Stegostoma tigrinum: one gene and its partners. The protein of the gene in region 1 interacts with the protein of each later gene in a pairwise test. Links are inferred from orthologs where the notes say so. Each region holds a gene or a part of one and is shown on either strand. Other genes may lie near its edges.

The links. The genes of interacting proteins can lie anywhere in the genome.
Region 2: the proteins of cdc5l (region 1) and znf451 interact in a two-hybrid assay, tested with the Homo sapiens proteins (2 studies listed by BioGRID and IntAct). The link is inferred for Stegostoma tigrinum from reciprocal best matches to the Homo sapiens genes CDC5L and ZNF451.
Region 3: the proteins of cdc5l (region 1) and exoc7 interact in a two-hybrid assay, tested with the Homo sapiens proteins (2 studies listed by BioGRID and IntAct). The link is inferred for Stegostoma tigrinum from reciprocal best matches to the Homo sapiens genes CDC5L and EXOC7.

Annotation. Positions count from the first base shown.
Region 1 is NC_081357.1:76,296,409-76,304,293, forward strand, and holds the start of cdc5l (cell division cycle 5-like protein), read right to left. Parts: upstream 3,077-7,885; 5' UTR 2,910-3,076; coding exon 2,865-2,909; intron 1-2,864. Other genes in the region: protein downstream neighbor of Son-like, read left to right, coding at 5,776-6,088.
Region 2 is NC_081357.1:92,286,692-92,294,816, reverse strand, and holds the start of znf451 (E3 SUMO-protein ligase ZNF451), read left to right. Parts: upstream 1-5,062; 5' UTR 5,063-5,267; coding exon 5,268-5,328; intron 5,329-6,070; coding exon 6,071-6,153; intron 6,154-8,125. UniProt on the Homo sapiens protein: E3 SUMO-protein ligase; has a preference for SUMO2 and SUMO3 and facilitates UBE2I/UBC9-mediated sumoylation of target proteins. Plays a role in protein SUMO2 modification in response to stress caused by DNA damage and by proteasome inhibitors (in vitro).
Region 3 is NC_081375.1:4,041,369-4,048,790, forward strand, and holds the start of exoc7 (exocyst complex component 7), read left to right. Parts: upstream 1-4,359; 5' UTR 4,360-4,429; coding exon 4,430-4,489; intron 4,490-4,724; coding exon 4,725-4,790; intron 4,791-7,422. UniProt on the Homo sapiens protein: Component of the exocyst complex involved in the docking of exocytic vesicles with fusion sites on the plasma membrane.

The DNA.
Region 1 (7,885 bases):
AGTCTCGATCAACGGGTGGGAGTCAGGCAGGGCTGCCCGCTCTCTCCTGCCTTGTTCGTGTGCTGTGTGGAGCCCTTCGCTGTCTCCATCAGGAAGGACGTGAGCCTGAAGGGCGTGACTATCCCAGGCAGCGGAGGCCTTCAGGTCAAGACCTCCCTGTACATGGACAATGTCGCCGTCTTCTGCACCGATCGTCGCTCGGTGAGTAGGCTGTTGGACATCTGCGGCCAGTTTGAACTGGCCTCGGGTGCCAAAGTCAATAGGGGTAAGAGCGAGGTCACGTTCTTCGGGAACTGGGATGACCGCTCCTTCATCCCCTTCACTGTCAGGACGGACTACCTGAAGATGCTGGGTGTTTGGTTTGGTGGAGCTGGGGCGTGCACTAAGACTTGGGAGGAGCGTATCACCAAATTGAAGCAGAAGCTGGGCAGGTGGACGCTCCGGTCCCTCTCCACCGCGGGTAAGAACCCGGTTGTCAGGTGCGAGGGGCTTTCGGCACTGTTGTATGTGGCGCAGGCCTGGCCTATTCCCTGGACCTGCGCCGCTGCAGTCACCCGGGCCATCTTCCACTTCATTTGGGGGTCGAGGATGGACCGGGTCCGCAGGGACACCATGTACAAAGACCTGGGAAATGGGGGGGAAAGGGCGTACCGAACGCCACCCTCGCCCTGACGGCTACCTTTGTGCATAGATCCTCAGTACGCAAACACCAAATGTCACTACTTACTGAGGTTCTACCTGTCCCCAGTATTGCGAAGGATGGGCCTGGCCTCGTTGCCGCGGAACGCTCCGAGTAGTTGGACTGTTCTGTACCACCTGTCCTACGTGGAGAAATTTTTGAAAGGAAACACCTTTGACCACAAGGCCGTCAGGCAGTGGTCAGCACGTAGTATCTTCGAGACCCTTTGGGAAAAGGAGAGGGTGGATCCCATCGTGTGGTTCCCCACGCAGGCTGCCAAAGTCGTTTGGCAGAATGCCTCATCGCCAGAACTTTCAAACAAGTACAAGGACATTGCTTGGCTGGCGGTGAGAGGGGCTCTGCCAGTGAGATCCTTTATGCATGCCCGGAATCTCTGCGTCACCGCACGCTGCCCTCGAGGTGGCTGCGGCGGGGATGAGTCTGTTGATCACCTCCTTCTGGCGTGTGCCTATGCGCAGGAGGTCTGGAGGGGGATGCAGTGGTATTTGTCGAGGTTCGTCCCGAGCAGCTCCGTGACGCAGGACTCCATGCTATACGGGCTGTTTCCTGGGACGCACACCGAGACTAACATCAACTGCGCCTGGAGGACCATCAATGCGGTGAAAGACGCTCTTTGGTCTGCCAGCTGAAAGAACTGACTCTGACCGAATGTTGCAGACTGGCGCACTCTAAGGTCTAGGACTACGTGCTGAGGGATGCGCTAAAGCTTGGGGCAGCCGCCGCCAAGGCGCGGTGGGGAAAGACCACGGTATGAAACCCCTCGTCCAGAATAGAAAAAAGGGCCCTATCTGGTACCTGGGCCCAGCTGGCGCCTTCCCCAACTGGTCAGGGGGCCAACTGGGACTGTGCAGGGTGACAACTGCCGGGGTATTTTCTTTGCTTTGTTTTTTTTCCTTTTAGTTGATGTATGTACCCCCTGGGTAACCCAGAGCGGCTTGCATGACAGGGTAGGTGTATAAATATGTTTTATTTTTTGTACATCTTATGAATAAAGTATATTTTTTCAAATAAAACAAAAGTGACGAAACGTCTGAAAACTAACCTTCCAGCTCAGCGAGCAATCTCACATCCAGAACCTCAACCTGAGCTACAAATCTTCTCAAAACTCGCTACAACCTTTCCGTATCTGCCGTCAAGTCCTCTAAGAATGATTTTGTTTCAATAAATGTCACGTCTCATTCTTCTAAATTCCAGTGAGTACAAACCCAACTTTATTCAACTTCTCCTCATAAGACATTCCGTCCATATCCAGTATCAGCCTACAAAACCTTCTCCATATTGTTTCCAATGCTAATATATCTTTCCTAACGATAACGTCACAACATTCTAGTTGCGGTGAATATTTCTAGCAGAACACCCACACTTTTATAATCCATTCCCTTTGGAATTTAAAAAAAAATCAACATTCTATTCGCCTTCACTATTATCCACCCGAACATGGATGCTAACTTTTTGAGATTCATGGATTTTATAATTCAATTGATCATCCTGGATTTAGAACTCTAACCGTCAGTGTTTTCTTTAGCATTATGATGTGTCAGTGCAAGGAAGTAAAACTTAACTTTTGGCACCCATTTTCAAGTATTCACAGATCACACAGATTCGAAGAACATGCAGGTGTGTGAAAAAGAACTTCAAGCCGCACCACCGCGCAAGATGAAATGTAATAAAGGTAAAAATCGCCGTTGTCTTAGCAGACCATAGGGCAGTGCTTTTATTAGAAGACGATTGGTGGTAGTTCATCTGCAGGTCACCATACCTCAGGTGAGGGGGAAGAAATTGAGAAAAGTTACCATTGAAGGACTTAAGTTGATGCGGAAATTGGTTTGGTGCACAGCAAAGGAGTCAGTGATTCCAAGGTCAATTTCTGACCGTTTGAAAAACTGTCCCTAAAAGAGCGACATTAATCAGTTTCTAAATCACGAGAAATTTTTACTGCATCAAGCCGCCAACTAACAAGAAACCCAAGAACTTGGTGTAATTTTGACCGTGGCAAGGGAAAAAGACGATCAAAATACTTGACGTCGCACGGTGAAAACAGTGAAATGCAACCGGGAAATGCTAGCATCAGCTCGGACAAGGGGGAAGGAAACCCCGTCTCTGGGCCCGGCGGAAAGGGGTAGACCCCAGTCTCCGGGCCTGTCACACAGGCCTCACCACTCACCTCCGTGTTCCTCCAGACACCTCCTTTAATCATTATCCGCGGCATCCTGGCAGTCAGCGACTGGTCCGAGGGAATCCTCGGCAGCTGCAAACGGTTAGGAAGGAGCTCAGTTATTTAACCAAACTTGAACCCAACTCCGGTGATAAACCTCCGGCCCTAGGTGCAGCAACGGGCGATGAGGTGACAAGGACAACACAGCGCTCCCAAGGTGGCCCGCTGCCGCCACCAAGAGCGCCGCCAAGCCTGGCTGACTGACACTGCACCCATTCCACTCCTCTCAACTTTACACCGGACAGATCACTTTGCAACGGCATCATCGTAAATAAACAAATCTTTGATTGTGGGTAGTCATGCAACGTGGGAAAACGACCGTTCGATCCAACTCGTCCATGCCGACTAGTTTTCCCAAACTAATCTACCCTAATTTCCCTGCGTTTGACCCATATCCTTTTACTACTCACGTAGCTGTCAAAATGTCTTATAAATGTAACTGTATAAGTGCATCTACCACTACTTCTGGCAATTAATTCCATTCATGCACCATCCTCTGTGTAAAGACATTATCCCTCCGTCCCTTTGAAGTCTTCTCCTTCTCACCTAGAACCAATGCCCTCAAAGTTGAGAGGGGAACGATTTAAAAGGGACTTGTGGGCAACTTTTTCATACTGAGGCTGCTTAGTCAAGATTGGTGTTTCTGTGAAGGAAGAGCATAAATTTCTGCTGAGGCAGGTTTATTGAAAGGGTTCTCTTACCAAGCTCCAGGGTAGTTCCTGGCAGCTTGGTCTAAGTCACTGCGGCCTCAGTGGTATAGAGGAACGCTGACCTTCATTGCTCTGACAGCGTAAGTGCTCTGCTCTACTTTCTGCTACCTTAAATTCAATCACTCTGCTACTACACTGACTGTGCAACAAGAGTCAAGTTCCATCACTTTTACTATAGCCTTCAACATCTTCACTCATTCATCCTTCTTTCCCCTAACCTCCCACAGCATTAAATATGCATGGCTTCTGCTCTACCTGTGCACTTGCCCAGGAGGCCTCATCACCTATTGTCCACCTGTCCCAGCAGTATTAGTCATGCTGATACACATCCACATTTTGGCTGAAAGAAGTTTCCTCAAATCCCTTCTAAATCTCCTGTCCCTTACCTTAAATTTATTGTCCATCTAACAAGGGGAGAAGCTTCTTTGAACCAACTGTATCTATGCCTCTTGCAATTTTGTACACCTCAATCAGGTCCCCTCTCAGCCTTCTCTACTCTCAGGAAAATATCTCCAGCCTTCTCAGTCTCTCTTCATAGCTAAATTAATCCAGTCCAGGTAACATCCTGTTGAATCTCTTCCTAGAATCATAGGATATAATCATAAATCCTTACAGTGTGGAAGCACATCATTCGGCGCATCAAGTCCATGCTAACACTCTGAAGAGCATTGCAGCCCTCTACCCTATCTCTGTAACCCTGCAATTCCCCCAGCTAATCCATCTAGCCTGCACATCCTGGAGAGTATGGGCAATTCAGCATGACCAATCCACTTAACTTGCACATCTTTGGACTGTGGGAGGAAACTGGAGCGCCAAGAGGGAACTCATGCAGATATAAGAAAATGTGCAAACTCCACACAGACAATCACCAAATTCTAGAATCAAACCTGGGCCCCTGGTACTGCGAGGCAGTAATGCTAACCACTGAGCCACCGTACCATCTCAGCTCTCAGTCATGTTCAACCCAGAGCTCTTCCTCAGAACTGGTCCTTTCGAGTGTATAATTCACTGCCACCTTACTTCCAGATATGCCCATTTTGATGAAGTTCTGCTCTTCTCGCCATCAGGCCTTCGCTTTTAATCTTTCAGCCTTAGCATGTTCATTGCTTTCTGTCTCCATTTCTGAAGAATGGTCAAACCAGAATCAAAACATTAACTCAGTTTCTATTTCCACAGATGTCGCTAGACATGCTGAGTTTCTCCAGCATTCTCTATTTGTTCCATTTTCCTCCAGTGCAGACTTGCCATTTTTAATAATATTTTTCATGAACCTTCAACACAAGTTTTCTCTGGTACAATCATATTCCTCCTACAGTCTGGTGACCAGAACTGTACCCACTACTTCATCTGTGACCTAATATCTTATACACAGCAACCATTACTTCCCTCCTCTTGTACTCAATGTCTCAACTAATAAAGCAAGTCTCCCTTAAATCTTCTAAAGCACCATATCCACCTGTCCTGCGGCCTTCAAATAACTGTGGTTATGCACACAAAATTCTTCTGATTCTCTGTACTTCTTAAGGCTCTACCATTCAACATGTACTCCCTCGCCTTGTTAGTCCTCTTAAAATGTATCACACCTCACTTTTCATGGTTAAATTCCTTTTGCCACTGTTCAGCCCATCTTGCCAGCCTGTCTAACAACTGTATCAACCATTAAAGTTTCTTGACACCTGGTCACTGGACTCAAAACGTTAAGACTTTTGGTTTTTCTTTAGATGTTGCTAGAATTGTTGAGCTTCTCCAGCAATTTCTATCTTTATGTGTCTCAGATCTCCAGCATCTTATGTTCTCTGTTTTACATTAACTTTTCATTTCCATCCAATGCTGCCTAAATCATGTTCCCCTTTTTAGTGTATGTGTTTCCCTGAAACTCTTCGTGTTTTTGCACGTCGACTGGGGTAAATTTTAAAGTTGTGTGGGTCATAGTGGTGAGATGAACTTCAGACAGTTTTGGGGTGGGGGGGTGGTAGGTGGAAGAAAACTACGAGTCCCATGATGCCCTGGAATGTTTGGTGGGGGAGGTTGGTGTGAGGACGGCGACGCAGTGCGCATGTTCCGCCGGCGTTGCCGCGGTGCAGGCTGGGATGTGAGTTCCACACTGACCCTCCTCCCCTTCCCCAGACCCAGGCCAGTTCCCGGTGACCATGGTGGGCACCTACTGTTGTGTGCCGGGCTGCTTCAACAACACACTCAAGAACAAGGAGCTCTCCTTTCACGTCTTCCCCAAGGACGAGACGCTGCGCGGCGTTTGGATCAGAAACCTGTCGCGCTTGGACGAGAGAAAATTCAGCGTGTGGCAGCCCAAAACCCATCACAAAGTCTGCGACGCCCACTTTGCTGGAGGCAAGAAGACCTACATGAACAATGTGCCCATCGTCTTCCCCGTGAAGGTCGAGAGGTCCCGCAAGAAGGAGCAGGCCAGGCTCCTGCTGCTGGGTGCCAAGATTACCCCACCAGGTACACTCCACACATGCAGCAGCAGATGGACATACCCCGCCTCTAGTGGTCAGGTCAAAAGTTTATAATCCCTGTTGAATTTAGCGTCGAAAATGTCAGAAACGTTGAAAATTCTGATCGTTTTATTTGTGGATAAAAAGTAATCCGCTTAATTTTAGGGAGATTTTAGCGGTCGGGTCTGTATCTTAAACAGAATTCGCTCCCTTGTAAATCAATTACACAGACGTGGAGATTTCCATTTGAAGTGCCTGAGCTGCAGTCTGTTGTTCACAGTGTAATCTGAACTCTTCAACTGTGTTACTGTTATATAATTCGCTAGTTTTTATTGAGTATTTCGTGATGACGTTGTGTTTTTCAAATGGGTCCTGGATATAGCTGGTTTAATTTTAGCTTCTTCCATCGTGCCGTTCCCTACTGAGAAAACAGGAAAGTAATAACGTGTGAAGCTGGATGAACACAGGCCAAGCAGCATCTCAGGAGCATTGACACTTGATGACTGGGAAATATTTGAGTGCTAATCTGGAATGCTTTCCTTTTTTTTCGACGTCCGTTAGTGGGTCGAGCAAAAAATCTCATAAGAGGCATGGCGAAAAAAAAGGAAGATCACCTCACCCCACCCCCACCATGGCATATCCTTCGCAGAAATTCCCCTAAGGATACTCTCAGCTAGGTTGCACATTCTGCAGTAATGGCACAATGCAGTGCAACGTACTGCCCTAGTTATTTAACGAAGATAGTGAGGTGGAGTTTGAAATGAAAAAAAGCCATTCTTCCAGTGGCAGCATAGTCTGCACTGTGACAGACCTATTAGTCAGCACTGATATTCATGAGCTGTTATACAAAGCTTACTGAGTATAGCAGAGTTCAATGCTATTGGCGTTTTAAAACTATTAACAACCATAGTTTTTTTTTATCTGATTTGAATGTCTTTCTTATAAATCTGTCTACCCTGTACGAAATTCTAATGTGGTTCCAGATGTTTTGGCCAAATATCAGCCAACGTGTACTCTGGCTTAATTGTCAGATTAGTTTCTAGGAATATTTCCTCTACTTTTATTATGGCATGTTATTTGACAAGCATAGTGGAACTAATTCAGAATTATCATGGAAACAGCATCAAGAAACATTGTATCCAATTAAGATTGATCAGAAAATGAAATTTGCCTTTAAGTGTATGGTGGCATTGTGGTTTTGCAATTAGATTAGTATTCCAGTTCTACAGGCATCAATTTCATTCCCATTGCTGTAAATGGGGAATTCAAATTTAATTCATAAATTAAATTTTAAAAGAAGGAATTAAAAGCTTATTAGTAATGGTGACAACCAAAGCTGCTGTTTTGTGTGAAATCCATCTGGTTTACTAATGTGCTTTAGGGAAGAACGTCTTCTGTCCATATCTAGTCTATCCTATATGTGATTTCACATCCACAGATATGGTTCTTAACTATCCTCCGAAATGGCCCAGCAAGAACTCATCCCTATCATAACTGCTGTGAATAATAAGAGTGCAATTGAATGCTCATACTGTATGCATCTTCAGCACAAGATTCAGATACTAGAAATGCATGCCCATCCCAGTTGCTACAAAGTCCTTCTCACGAACGGCTGGCACTTGAATTAAATATGGGAGAATTGCCCACAAAGTAATTAAACAAGAGCCTGACAAAATCATACCTTGTGACTACTATTCAGCTCCTACATTATCATTCCTGTCTTCCCAGCCGGATAAACCCACAAGGGGTGTTGGCATAATGATGTACCGGAGGATCCAAGTGGTCCTGAGAATCTACATTATCA
Region 2 (8,125 bases), about 16 Mb from region 1:
TGCAATATTCTTGACTTCAAAAATAGGGGCATAGAGTACAAAAGCAGGGAGGTTATGATGAACTTTAAATATACACACTGGCTAGATCTGAACTGGGAGTGCACTAGTGTATAGTTCTAGGAGCCACTTTAGACAGTGTGTGAAAAAATGTTTACAGGAATGCCTCCAAGGATGAGACACTTCAGTTATGCCTTGTCTCCTTGGATGCTGCCTGACCTGCTATGATCTCCACCATTTTTGGTTTTCACTTTGGTTACGAGGATAGGTTGGAGAAGTTGGGACTGTTCTCCTTGGAGAGTAGAAGGCAAAGTGGAGATTTGATGGAAGTTTTCAAAATCATGAAGGGTTTGCACTGATAGGTAGGCAGAAACCTTTCTCACTCATAAATGATTCAAGAACCAGTGGGCACAGTTTCAAAGTGCTTTGCAAAGGAAGAATGTGAGGTGAGAAAAAACATTTTCATATGGCGAATAGTTAGGGTCTGGAATGCACAGCCTGCAGGCGTGATGGAGGCAGGCTCAATTAAGTATTCAAGAGAGCGTTTGATTTTAAAAAAAGAAACAACATGCAGGGTTATAGGAATAAGACAGGAGAAAAGCACTAAATTAACATGTACAGAGATTACAATGGGTCAAATGGCCTCCTTCTGCACTGTCATATTTCTGTGGCTGTGATTCTGTGAACTTCTTCTAGTGCAGTAACAGCCATCCAAACATCAAAGTGGAAAACTACCCAGCTGTGAGCAAAAACTGCTAACAAATGCAATCCAGGTAATTATTGTCACCAGTCCACTCTCAATCATGAGCAAAAGAAGGTGTCTTCAACAGTGTCATCAGTTGCCATTTACTCACCAACAATCTATTCACCAATGCTCTATTTGGATTCTGCCAGGAGCATACAGCTCCTGATTTCATTATAGTCTTTGTTCAAACAAGCAAGAAATGAGGTGAGACGGAGAGACAGTTGAAGAATTGAAATTCATGACTGAAAGGCCATGTGTGTGAGCTAAATAGAGGTGTCCTGCAAAGAGATCATTCAGTGTGCAATTTAGACTAGAAGAGATCTACAGATTTGCAATGAATGCAAGTAGCTAAATTGAAAGAAGTGAAAGTAAATGACCGTTTCCCTTCTGAGGGAGGGGCGGGGGGGTGTGGTTCGGGGCTTTTCCTGTTGATAATGGAGGAGTTCTGAGGATGGGTGTTACATGCGCTGCACTTGCGTGAAACTATGCTGTAGGATAAAGGTTCTTGTGAAGCAGTGATAGTGTCCCTATCTCTCAGCTACGAGACCTGGGTTTAAGCCTCACCTGCTCCAGTGATGTGTAAATAATATCTCTGAACAGGTTGATTAGAAAATGTTTTATGCTTTTGGAAACGGAGGAGACGTGAAGATGGCAAAGGATTAAACAAGGACCTCACCAAGGGAACAAATCCATTAGAATTCTGAAAGTGGAGAGCAAGGTTGTTGCCGACGTAATACTGGACGTAGTGGAAATGGCAGAAGACGAGCTGTTGTCATCAGATGCTAGAAGAGTAGAAGGCGACCATTCTAGTAAATCACTTCTGCACCTTCTGAACATTCTCTATGAAGTTTAGATATCAGAATTGGAAACTATACTGCAGATGAGGCCTAACCAATATTTTCTGAAGATTTCGCTAACTTCCTTGCTCTTGTACTCTATGCCTCTCCTTTCTGAAGTCAAATATCTCCTATGGAATTTTTAAAATAGCCTTCATGACGTGGCTTGCCATCTTCAAAGGCTTGTTTCTGCATCTTCCTTAAAACTGTATTCTGAGGGAAAGCCACAGACTGCTTCTTTTTCTCAAATTTAAAGGGTGTGAACAGTTAAACCACTTTAGATCCAAACACTTATATTTTCCAATAAGTGTTTTCTTCAGTTTTGAATGTATAATGGCATCTTTCCCAAAGAGAACAAAAATTCTCTAAATAGCAACTAAGTATTGAAAATAAGGAAACAGATTTCTTTTTGTTTTCCAAAGCCTGTTAGTGAAAGAATTCCAACGGCTGGTGGCTGTCACTTTTTGTTTCCCCGACTTCAGGCTGAGGATCCCTAATGGTTCACATATTCTCAGAGATACCATGAACTATATTCAGCAGAAGGGGCCAAACTCCACAAAAATTAAGGGAGATGAGTTTTTCTCCCACTCCTACAAAGGAGCCAGCAAAGGAGGTCAGGTCTTTGTCACTGTCACTGTGTTATAATTTCATATAGCTACTTGTGCCTGCAAATCTTGTTCTTTCATACAAACGCAGCACTTTTTTACTTTTCCATGTCATGGCCATTTCATTTTTAGAAATTTATCAAATCTACAACACTTCCATGCCCTGCATTCCAGATCCTGCTGATTCACTACATAAAAGTAATTCTCATCTCTCATTCTCGTTATTTTACCAGTTATCATGAATCTTCACTGTCTGTCCCTGACTCTATTAGCGGAAGCAGTTTCTCCTCATCAACTCTTTCAAACCTCCCTTAATACTGAGCATCCCCTATTTATCATTTATCCTTCAATGCTCATTCTCTAGCCTCAGTGATGAAGTTCCTCAACACTGGGAGCATTCTGACAAATCTACTCTGCATCTGTGTTTCTATGGTACAGTGTTTGTGTTAAATGAGTCTGTATCAATGTGTCTCTGACCAGGAAAATTAATCACCTGAAAAATGCACAAAGCCCTTGCCCATGTTTACACTCTGCAATCTTTGCTCATGTTTGGTGGTTTGCAAAAGAAAGAACACGCATTTAAATGGTGCCCTTTGATTCTTTCTTTGGGAAATTCCAAAGTATCTTAGGAACATCTTTAAACATTTCTAACCATATAAAGATGGAAGCAAAGCAAAATTTCACTCAAAGACTATGCTGCATTGTCGGAAATGTTGTCTGCCCTTTCAGGGGTCATAAAATATCCCACAGCAGTATTTAAAAGTATGGTGAGTTGTCCCAATGTCTTATTTCATTCGATGCACAGATGCCACAAATCAGAAAGGTCCACCATCATGCTGTCAGTGTTTGTGACAATATGGCATGCCCTCACAACTGTGCCAGGTGAATCAAGCAAAATGTAATAGTCTGAAATGGGGAATGAAGGTACCTCCTTCAGAAACCAGGCTGCAACCCTGAGGAAGTTCTGAGGAAGGGTCACCAGACCCAAAACATTAACTCTGATTGTTTTCATCACAGATGGTGCCAGACCTGTTGAGCTTTTCCAGCAACTTCTGTTTTTGCAACCCACCAAACCTTGGCTAACATTTACAATAAATACTTTAGATATCATACTCTTCTCCTTATGAAAGTAAATTGAAATACCTCAGTAAATTAATTCATTAATTAAACTAGACTGACATGCAACAGATAATTGGAACTGCAGATGCTGTTGAATCTGAGATAATAAGGTGTGGAGTGGATGAACACAACAGGCCAAGCTGCATCAGAGGAGCGGGAAAGCTGACGTTTCGGGCCTAGATCCTTCTTCAGATCTTTTTCCCCCCACGTTCTTTCATAAATTTCTAATAGCAAGGGAGCTAATTTCTTTTTATATGTGAAATATCTAACTGCACCACCCCTGGTTAGCATTGATGCGGACACACCTGACGTAGACATTGTGAGTCAGACATCCCCTCTGTTTACAGTGGAGATAACAGCGCACGCACAGTGAGCAAGGGGTGGGAAAGCAGTGCGGGCTGACGCTGTGCGGCAGCACGGGAGAGAGTAGCGCAGGCGCAGTGACCGGGGGAAGGGGGAACAGCAACACAGGGTTAGATGGTAGCGCAGGCGCAGTGAGCAAGGAGTTAAGTAATTTCGCAGGGCACGGCGGCACTGCAGCCGCAGGCGCAGGAAAGGGGCAGCATACGGAAGCGCATGCGTAGTGACCAGATGCCGTTGAACAAGGTAGCGCAGGCGCAGTGACCAAGTTCAGGGGAGACGATGGCGCAGGCTCAGTGACTGTGTGCGGTGGAGACGACAGAGCATGCGTAGTGACTATGTTTAGGTTGTGAGATTCGGCGGCGCAGGCTCGGTAACTCTGTGCGGGCTGATGGCAGCACAAGGCGTAGTGATCATGTTTAGTGCGTAAGGGACGGCGGCGCAGGGGAAGTGACCACGCTTTGTTCGAAGACGACAACGGCGCAAGCGCAGTGTGGAATTAGCACTTCGAGCGGTCTGGCGCGTTAACATCAATGTGAGGAGTGGGCTGGCGAGCACAGGCTAGTTGTGATCACGTCTGAGCTCCTTTTTTTCCCCATTCTGCCCATTGGTCTTTCTCATTCATTCGTTAACCACTGTGTAAACTGTGGTCTAAATACAATGCAGAGAAGAGTGGACATTCGGGCAGCTGAAGCAAGGCACTGAGTCCCGGAGTGTGCTGTGGGGGCTGGTGAAGGAGGAAGTTGGCGCTGTGCTGGAGGTTGGTGTAAGTGTAAAGCTGAACTGGGAAAGGAATGCTGGATTGCAAGAAGACCAGGTGCAGGGGGCGGGGAGGTTCAGTATTTTGACTTAAAAATGCAGGTGATAGCTTTACCATTATAAGGCACTTTTATCAGACAACTTATTTGTAAATAATGACTCATTTGAGTTTCTGTAATTTGTTCCAAGTTTTCCGAAAGCTTTGCTTCCTCCAACTGTAGTACCTCCTGTGCATCCCTCACATTCAGCACCTCATCAATGGTGGTTGTACCTTGATCTGTTCATACCCAAGGGCCTTGTAAAAGAACTTGGGGTGTTAAACATTGGAGACTGATTGCACTGGCTTGTATTTCTTGAAGCGTAGAAAGCAAAATGACTGATGAATAAATGTTCAAAGAAAAATCGGAAATTTTGCTAATACTATAAAAATTTTATCATCAATTTTAAAATATTTTATCATCAATTTTAAAATATTTAAAATGATTAAAGGAGTTTAGTGGGCCATTCAGAGGTATTGCTGAGAAGCAGTTCTCACAGAGGCGATGGAAATTTGGAGTTCCCTGCCAAAGAAAGCTATTGATGTGAGGGGTAGACAATGAAAGATTTCTAAACCAAGGTAGTTTTCTTTATTGTTTAAAGTATTAGAGTTGCAGAATCAGGTGAGTAGACATTGGCGTTAAAATGCAGGTCAGCATGTATAGTGTTATTGAAATGTAAAGCAGGCTGAATAATCTTGTGCTCCTGAGATGCTGCTTGGCCTGCTGTGTTCATCCAGCCTCACATTTTATTATCTTGGAATCTCCAGCATCTGCAGTTCCCATTATCTCTGAATAATCTTGTTTTCCCATGAATGTTCTGGCAAAGGATCAAGCCTGTGGTCTGTTTGAGAGAGAGAAAGCTGAAGGAGGTAAGGAACGCATGGGAAGTAATTGAGTTACCTGAGATGATTTTTCACAGCTCCCGAGAATAGTGCATGAACATGAAGTAGGGATGGTGATGGATTAGTCAAAGGCTTTGGCTAATGCTTTCAGGACACTGGTTCAAGTCCCACCATGGCAGCTAGTCGGATATACTAATTTTGATTAAGAAATTTAGTTAATTAATAGTAGAATTTAAAGCTAGTCTCAATATTGATGACCAGTTGTTGTAATAATTCATCTGGCTCACTAATGCCTTTCAGGTAAGGGAATTTGGTATATTAAACTGGCCTGACACACAAGTAATTCCAGATGCACAACAATGTACTTGACTCTTAACTGCCCTCTGAAGTGGCTTGGCAACTGTACATTGGACCAACCAATCCAGAAAAGTCATAACAAATGGACTACAATGGTTCAGCTAGACTGCTGAGCATCATTGTCTCAATTAGGAATGTACAGCAAACACTTGTCTTGCCAGTGACCCCCACATCTCATGGAATAAGTTTTTCAAAAGGTTGCTTCAAGGAACAGTTCGGCAAACATTCAAATTTGCCATCTCTGTGAAGCAATTTTCAAGTGTCAACATCTCTTTTTAAGCTTGCTTTAGAAATGCTGGCCGAGAAATAGAAGACAGAATTTTTGACAAACCTGCGAAATAACTCTTTGATTTGTTTCTCAGTGTTTGATAACAACTAGCCAAATTTTTTTTTGTGGTCTTTTCCCATGCAGATCTGTTTTCTATCATGTCGTCTAGTGATGGGTTGTTACCAGCAGAAAAACGTGAAAGTGAAGATGAAGTGATATTTGTGAGCGTATGTATTCTGATATTGCACTGTACTTCAAAATTATATGTTATTCCACAAAGTTGTAACTTTTTCCCTCTGGTCTGTTAGCCTCATGACATTCTTAAGGAGAACTTTCAAATTCATGAAGGACTTAATGCAGCTCTTCCCCTGTATGATACAATACCCTTTGGGGAGCGGCACAGGCTGAAGGGCTGGGATGGTGCAGTGCAACTGTTTTTTTTAATTTCAAAAGTATGCTTTTCATAAAACAATCTCTTTGTATATATACATTGTTGCAAATGCATTTCAGTTCTGTGCAATATCATATCAGGTAAACAAACAAACATTTGAGTTTGATTTTATCCAAACAAACCAAAGGAATCTCTGACATGTGTAAGGTTATACTTACATAGATTGAGGCACTAGGACTCTTAGGCTGGCAGAAATGAGTGTGGTGTTAGAGATTTGGAGCTGCAGGAGCACAGCAGGTCAGACAGCATCTGAGGAGCAGGAAAGTTGATGTTTTGGGTTTGGACCCTTCATCAGGCCCAGACCCAAATCTTAGACCTTCCTGCTCCTCAGATGCTCTCTGACCTGCTGTGCTCCTCCAGCTCCACATTATATGGACACTGACTTCCACCTGCGGTCCTTTCTGTCTCCTACTGGAGCTAGATGTCATTCTCCTTGTCTTCTCTAAACTACCTTCTGGGAGTAGAACATCTCACTGTATGTTAATGACCAGAATTGGACACGGTACTTCATGTCCAATTTGATCAGCAGCCTATACCTTGTCATTTTGACAATAATGCATAAAAACTTCTCTCTTCCTGCAGAGATGGCTGATCTTTTTGTTGCATTTTTGTAATTTATGCGATTGAAGGACAACATAATATTTTTTCTTGCCAGTTTGTTGATAACCAATTTCTCTGAGATTATGGTTTGATTTCAGTGAAACTTGGCATACAGGGTATGGTTAAAAGAATAATTAGTCTATCTTTGTGAAGATGTGGATGCAGACCCTGGAATTTTTGTGTAATTGATCCACTAACATTGAATGATGAGACTAATTAAAGTTTTTATAGAATGTTATTGATGTATTTTAGAATATTGTGGAATATCAAAATTTGAACAGGGTTTTCAGAGCATGTTGTTGGATATTTTCTTAGTTAAATTGGGGTTCTCAATACAAAGAGTAATTTTTCTCAGAGCATCAACCAACCAGAGAAACACTTTAAAAAAAAAGCTGCATAATTGTAAACTTTGAGTTAATACACTGCAGAGAAGCTACTTGATCTAGTGAGTGTCCCATTCACTTGTTTTTTGTTTTGATTTCTATTAATTGTATTGAATATTTTTTCTAAATGGGTCGTTGCACTTGATAACAAGCTGGAGAGCTGGGTGAACACAGCAGGCCAAGCAGCATCAGACCTGCTGTGTTCACCCAGCTCTAAACCTTGTTATCTCAGATCCTCCAACATCTGCAGTTCCTACTGTCTCTGTTACACTTAATTTTGTTTCTTCTCCCTGTCCTATTGACCACCAGTCACTTAGTTGATGGATATTCTTTGAAATTCCTGTTGCCCTCAAAACCTGGAGTCTGTTGACGGATTCCAGAAGAATGATTATAGAAGCTTTGGTTTCACATGAGGCAGGTTGAATAGCCATCACCTACGTATGTCAGCAAATCAGAACTGTTGGGTATATTTTCACTTTGGATTCTGTGCATTGCTGATTTGTTAAGCCAGCAGATATTACCTTTGAAAAGATTGGAATCATGTTCAGTTGACAGGAGTGCATAACCAGAGTACTAACTTACAACTCAACCATTTCAAAACGACTTGAAGTGTTGGGTCTCCAGGAAGACACCAGTTCATCCACAGTTTTAATCTAGCTTTCATCTTGAAGCCACACCTTTTGGATGCCTGAAACTCAGAGAAAATTAATAATGTTATAGAGTCATACAGCACAGAAACAGATGCTTTGGTCCAACTAGTCCATG
Region 3 (7,422 bases), on another chromosome or scaffold:
AAAGGCAAATGGCACTGGATGGGCCTTGCAGGATCACAGAATTGCTTCTTGATCAATGTGTAAGGTGACCTCGGCTCTTTGATTGTCCCCAGACCTTCCTGTAAAACTACCAAGTGTTTAATTAGAACTTCACTGGTGCAGCCATTTTCTAATTGAAAAATGTTGAGTCAATTAAAGTGAATCATTCTCAACCAATTTCACCCCAATGTCATTTAGAACATAGATCAGTACAGCGCAGTACAGGCACATTGGCCCATGATGTTGTGCCGACCTTTTACCTTAATCCTAAGGTCTATCTAACCTCCACCCCTACCTTATACTATCATCCATATGCCTATCTAATAGCCGCTTACATGCTCCTAATGAGGCGGAATCCACTACCCGCTCTGGTAATGCATTCCATGCCCCGATCACTCTCTGAGTAAAGAACCTGATGTCTCCCCTATATCTACCTCCACTCACTTTAAAACTATGCCCCTCATAATAGCTACCTCCACCCTAGGAAAAAGTCTCTGACTGCCTCCTGTATCTATACTTTTGATCATTTTGTACACCTCTATCACCTCTCATCCTTTGTTGTTCTAAAGAGAAAAGCCCTAGCTCTCTCAACCTTTCCTCGTAAGACCTTCCCTCGATTCCAGACATCTTGATAAATCTCCCCTGCACCTTTTCCAACACTTCCACATCTTTCCTGCAATGAGGCGACCTGAACTGGACACAATACTCCAGATGTGGTCGAACCAGGCTTTTGTATAGCTGGAGCATAAATTCACAGCTCTTGAACTCAATCCCTCTATTAATGAAAGCTAACACACTATTTGCCTTCTTAACAACTCTGCCCGAAACGTCAGCTTTTGTGCTCCTAAGATGCTGCTTGGCCTGCTGTGTTCATCCAGCCCCACACTTTGTTATCTACCCACCTGGGTGGCAGCTTTCAGGGAACTGTGGACATTAACCCCAAGATCCCTCTGCTCCTCCACACTGCCAAGAATCTTTCCGTTAATGGCACGGTGGCTCAGTGTTAGCACTGCAGCCTCACAGCACCAGGGACCTGGGTTCAATTCCCGCCTCAGACGACTGTCTGTGTGGAGTTTGCAGATTCTCCCCATGTCTGTGTGGGTTTCCTCTGCATGCTCCGGTTTCCTCCCACAGTCCAAAGATGTGCAGGTTAGGTGGATTGGCCATGCTAAATTGCCCATAGTGTTTAGGGAGGCTGGGTCTGGGTGGGATGCTTCAAGGGACGGTGTGGATTTGTTGGGCCGAAGGGCCTCTTTCCACACTGTAGGGAATCTAATCTAATCTTAACCCTGTATTCTGCTTTCAAGATTTCCTTTCCAAAATGAATCACCTCACACTTTTCAGGGGTAAGCTCCGCCTGCACTTCTCAGCCCAGCTCTGCATCCTTTCAATGCCCCTTTGTAACCTAAAACAGCCCTTTGCACTGTCCACAACATGACCCACCTTTGTATCATCTGCAAACTTACTAATCCACCCTTCCACACCTTCATCCAAATCATTTACAAAAATCACAAATAGATGACCCAGAACAGACCCTTGTGGTACACTATTTATAACTGAGCACCATGTTGAATATTTTCCGTCAGCTACCACCCTTTGTCTTCTAAGGGTCTGCCAATTCTGAATCTAGTCTGCCAGATTTCCTCCTATCCCATACCTCCTTACCTTCTGCAGGAGCCTACCATGGGGAACCTTATCAAACGCCTTACTTAAATCCATGTATACCACATCCACTACTCCACCTTCATCCACGTGCCTTTCCAAGTTATCCTAAATTCTATCTCTCAGAGACCTTTCCAATAATTTGCCCACCACCGACCTGAGACTAACTTGCCTGTAATTTCTGGGGTTATCCTTATTCCCTTTTTTGAACAAGAGAATAACATTTGCCTCTCTCCAATCTTCCGGCACCATACCAGCGGAGAGTGAGGACGAAGAGATCACCAAAGGCCCTGTGATCTCTTCCCTCGCTTCCCATAGAATCCTTGGGTAAATCCCATCAGGCCCGGGGGACTTATCAATTTTCAACTTCCTCAAAATTCCTAGCACATCTTCCTTACTAACAGCAACCTCCTCCAGCCTACCAGCCTGTTTCACTCTGTCCTCTTCTAAAACTAGGTCTCTCTCAGTTGTGAATGCCGAAGAAAAGTATTCACTCCTCCTATCTCTTTACGATCCATGCACAAATTCTCTTTACAATCCTTGATTGGCCCTACCCTTTCTCTGGTCATTCTTTCATTCCTCACATAGGTGTAAAAAGCTTTGGAGTTTTCCTTGATCCTGTCTGCCAAGGTTTTCTCATGCCCCCTTATAGCTCTCCTAAGCCCTTTCTTCAGCTCCCCACTGGCTAACTTGTATCCCTCTAGAGCCTTTTCCATTTCTTGTTTTCTAAACCTTACAGAAGCATCCTTCTTCCTCTTAACCAGTCATTCAACACTCTTGAGAACCAAGGCTCTCTCACTTGACCGCATCTTCCCTGCCTGTTAGGGACAAACATATCGAGCACAAGCAGTATGCATTCCTTAAACAATCTCCACATTTCAATAGTACTCTTTCCTGACAACATCTGTTCCCATTTTATGTTACCCAGTTCTAGTCTAACAGAATTGTAATTACCCTTCCCCCATTATAAACCTTACCCTGCTGTATGTACCTAATCTTTTCCATGACTATTGTAAAAGTAACAGAGTTATGATCACTACCACCAAAATGCTCTCCTACCAACAGGTCTAACGCTTGGCCCGGTTCATTGCCAAGCACCAAATCCAAAGTAGATGTTCATTTTGCATTCTTTCAGAGGTGTTTTTGATTAATTGTTATGTCCATTTTCCTGGTCACCATGAAATTGCTCAAGTTGCTAAACGTTCTGGCCTCTTCTAATTTTGGTCTTTTCAGCAGACCATTTTTTAAAATTGCTTAACCATTGGTGGCCCTGGTACCTTCAATTTGCAGAAACATAAAAGAGTTGTAATGTACAAGGTCATTTGCTCAGAAAAATGTAGTGCATTCTTTCCGAATTTTTGGCCCATCTTTGACAGCAGGATTGAATGAGTCAAGCTTCCCAAATAACAGCATGATGTCAGAAAAGCTAACACTATCTAAAAGGCAACTATGATGAGTAAATACCTTCAAGAGTGTGTTATTTCATTGTTCCTCCTGAAATAACTCTATACCGGCGAGTACACAATCACCAAATCACCCTTTATTTATATGTGGGAAGTCCTTGACTTTTTGTCTTATTCCACAGATGAGTTTTCCCTGCACTTTCTGTTTTCATTTCAGATCTCATGCATCCAGTTTTGGCCATTACACCAGATTGGATTCACCACATTGTTTCTCACCTTGCTTTATTTTCTTTAACAAACAGCTTACAGGTGTTCATTTTGCATTCCTTCAGAGGTGCTTTTGATTGATTGTTATGTCCATTTTCCTGGCCACCATGAAATTGCTCAAGTTGTCAAATGTTCCGACCTCTTCCAATTTTGGTCTCTTCAGCAGACCTTTTTTTTATTGCTTAACCATTGGCACTGGTACCATCAATTTGCAGGAACATAAAAGTGTTGCGATGTAGAAGGAGACTATTTGGCGCATTGTGTTTACACTAATTCCTCAAAGGAACATCATTAAGCTGGTCTCATACTTCCCCCCATACCCTTGCACATTATTTCTATCCAAACAATCATTCAATGCCCTTTTGAACGCCTCGTTGAACCTGCATCCAGCATGCTTTCAGACAGTAACTACTCACTGTATGAAAATAATGATTTTTCTCCGTTGCATTTGCAGCAGTTAAGTGGGCCTTGACCTTTGGAATTCCCTTCCTAAACTTCTTCATGTCGCTCTTTCTTGTCATTTATGATGCTTTTTAAATTCTACCTCTTTGCGTGAGCTTGTGGTCGTCAGCTGGCCGAACAGCTCCTTGAGTGTCTTGGGATCAAGCGCCTGCCTATTTATCACCCCGGTGAAATACTCCAGTTTTCAGGCTGAGTAAATTCAAGTCACACAATCAGCAGTTCAGCTTGACCCTTCAGAGAGGTAAGCAACCCTGGTGATTATTTGACAAATCACAAACATGTGAGGCTCCAAATAAAAGGACTGATGTCTTGGGGCAATTTTTCCCAAACATTTCCTGGCTGACAGAATGTTAACATCAGTAAATGATTTTCTGAAGAAGGGTCTAGGTCTGAAGAAGCCTTCCTGCGCCTCTGATGCTGCTTGGCCTGCTGTGTTCATCCAGGCCCACACCTTGTCATCTCAGATTATCCAGCATCTTCAACTCTACCGTCATCCCAGTGAGCTGTTCGTCTCCATAGCGACAGACCACACCCCCCGCATCCCCAGGCCGGACGTGACGCAAAGGAAGTTTGTCCTGCTGACCTGAGGCCTGTGCGGAGAGGCTGCGAGGCGCAAAATGATTCCTACAGAGGACGCGTCCGCCAGGAAAAGGCATATCGAGGAGAAGCTTCAGCAGGTAAATGGCCGGGGTAGCCGTGGAAGAGGAATGGATAGTTGGAGTGCCGTGTGCCGGTCTCTGTCTGCAGTCCCCGTCCAGGGGTCTGGTCGGGGCGAAAGCGGGTGCGATGTGGTGTTATAAGTATTGCCAACTGCTATCCTAATGATGGTCTGATGCCTTTGCATTTACTATTAACTAGGAAGTCAAGTGTCTTTGATTAGATGCATATTTGTGACTTTTCTTTAATAACCAGGAGCAAGAAACCTTGTCGTTCATAAGAGAAAGCTTGGAGAAAAGTGACCAACTGACCAAAAATATGGTAAGTTCATCTTACTTCAGTCGTAGGTCAATGTTTTGTATATTAGAAGCAGCTGGTAAGGTGGACAGTGATAGGGGTTTGGTGGGGTGTCAGAAAGGGTGTTACTACACTACAGACCCTGATTTTATCATGTTTTGTGCATGTGTGGGCTAAATGGCAGTGTGTCACACTGACATATTTCCATTTACTAAAAGAGAATATCATGTTTGCTCCTGGATTGTCAGAGATGATGGTGTGTGTACTACTGTTTATCTCCAGCTCCTGGGGTAAGAAAGAAACTGGGGTTTGCACAATCAACTGTTTTACTTGTCTGTCTGGGTGGTGGAGGTCAAGGGTTTGGAAAGTGGTGTTGAAAAAGGATCGGTGAGTTATTATGCTTCATCTTTTGGATAACATGTACTGTTACTACTGTGCATTGATAGTGGGAACAGTGAAAGGTGAAGATGGTGGGCTGGAGTACCAGTTAAGCTGCTTAGTCCAGGATGGTTTTGAGATTCTTGACAGTTTTTTTGTACTTGTGCTCATCCGTGCAAGTGAGGAGTATGCCATCATACTCTTGCCTTGTGTCTTGTAGATGATGGACAGGATAGGGGAGGTGATGGCCTAGTATTAATGCTGGACTGTTGACCCAAGAACCTAGGTAATGTTATGGGGACCCAGGTTCAAATCTTACCATGGCAGATTGTGGAATTTGAATTCAATGAAAACCTACAACTGAGAATCTAGTGATGGCCTTGAATCCATTGATGATTGTCAGGGGAAAAATCCATCTGGTCCACTAATGTCCTTAGGGAAGGAAACTGCCTTTCCCTTACCTAGTCTGGCCTACATTTGAATCCAGACTCTCAGCAATGTGGTTGACTCCTAACTGCTCTCTATGCAATTAGGGATGGGCAGTAAATGCTGGCTTAGCCAGCAATGTCCTCATCCTTTGAAAGAATAATAAAAGTTGGGGAGTCTGAGTTACTTGCAATAAAATTCCCAGTCCCTGTCGTCTTTTGTGCTTCCAGTAATACGTGGCTAGTCCAGTTCAGCCTGTGGTCAGTGGGATCCTTTACAATATCGTCAGTGATTTCATTTGTGGTAATACCAAAGGGAGGTGCTTAGATTCTATCTTGTTGGAGTAGTTGCATTTGGAAGGCAATGAGTGTTAATTGCCATTAGTTAGCTCAAGCCTCACATTGTGCAGGTCTAGTTGCATTTGAACATAAACTGCAAGTATTTGGGGTGTTGTGAAGTGTGCTGAACACCGTGCAATCATCAGAGAATGTCCCAATTTCTGACCTTATGATGGAGGGAAAGGCATTGAAGCAGCCAAAGGTGATTTAGCTTAGGACGTTACATGAGGAACTCCTGTGTGTGATGTGAATGAAATGTATAGATGTTTCAAAGTCCTCAACCCTATCTGGTATTTGAATACTGTAGAGTGATGCTGTTGGGCTGGATGGGATTATATTTTCACCATTTTGAAATATTTCAAATTGTGTTACATGTAAAATATTTTTTCTCTTTATCATCTCTTTTGCCTGATGAGCTTTATTCTATTTTTAAAACAGGTCTGCAGGATTTCACGTTTGTGTTTATAGAGGATTGTCTCATTAGATTGGAGATAATGGGAACTGCAGTTGCTGGATAATCTGAGATAACAAAGTGTGGAGCTGGATGGATACAGCAGGCCAAGCAGCATCTCAGGAGCACAAGAGCTGACGTTTTGGGCCTAGACCCTTCATCAGAAAGAGTCTAGGCCCAAAATGTCAGCTTTTGTGCTCCTCTGATGCTGCTTGGCCTGGTATGTTCATCCAGCTCTGCACTTTGTCTCATTAGATCACTTTTTTTCTCAAGCCAGCTTCCACTTTGGAATTAGACTTGCCAATGATAAGCTCAGCTGGGACCATTACATTTGGGGGCTCTTGCAGGATTTGAATTCAGTGGGTTTAATAGGAATCTGTGTCTTTTTTAAAGTAATCGGTACGTGAGGCTTCTGCATCTAAAATGGCTGTGTTGTGATGAAGTATGTTGCATGGAATTTGAAGATTATTTTGAGTGTTATTGGGTTTATTTGGTAGTATTTGAAATCAAATCAGGATCTCTCAGGATGAGATGCTTTGTGTTTATCCACCCTGTAAAAAGGTAAAGTCATCATCGTCTTACCAGATCATAGGGCTGCACTGTGATAAGAGAGGCATGACCGGTGATGGTTTAACCTGAGGGTCACCACATCTCAAAGGGAAAAATCTGAGAAGCATAGTCGTTCAGAAATTCAGCTGCTGCAGAAATTGAACTCACGTTGTTGACATCACTGCATCGCAAACAAAACTGTCCAGCCAACTGACCTAACTGGTAATATTTATCCAGAATTGGAAGAAAGCAAGCCAGAAATTGGGATGCGATGGCTGGAATTAGTTAAGGTACAGTTGAAAATGAAGAGACTTGAACTAGAAACACACCCAGGAAGCTGGAAAGTGAGGAGAAAGAAAATCAAGAGTAATGGACATAGTTTAGGAACCTTGAAATTGAAAGGGAGAAAAACAAGAGGGGTATAGAATTAGTAGAACTCAACTCCTAAAAGATAAATAACTTTTATAGCATAAGTTGGCCAAAGAACAACTTGGAGGAAAGGAAGAAAGGAGGA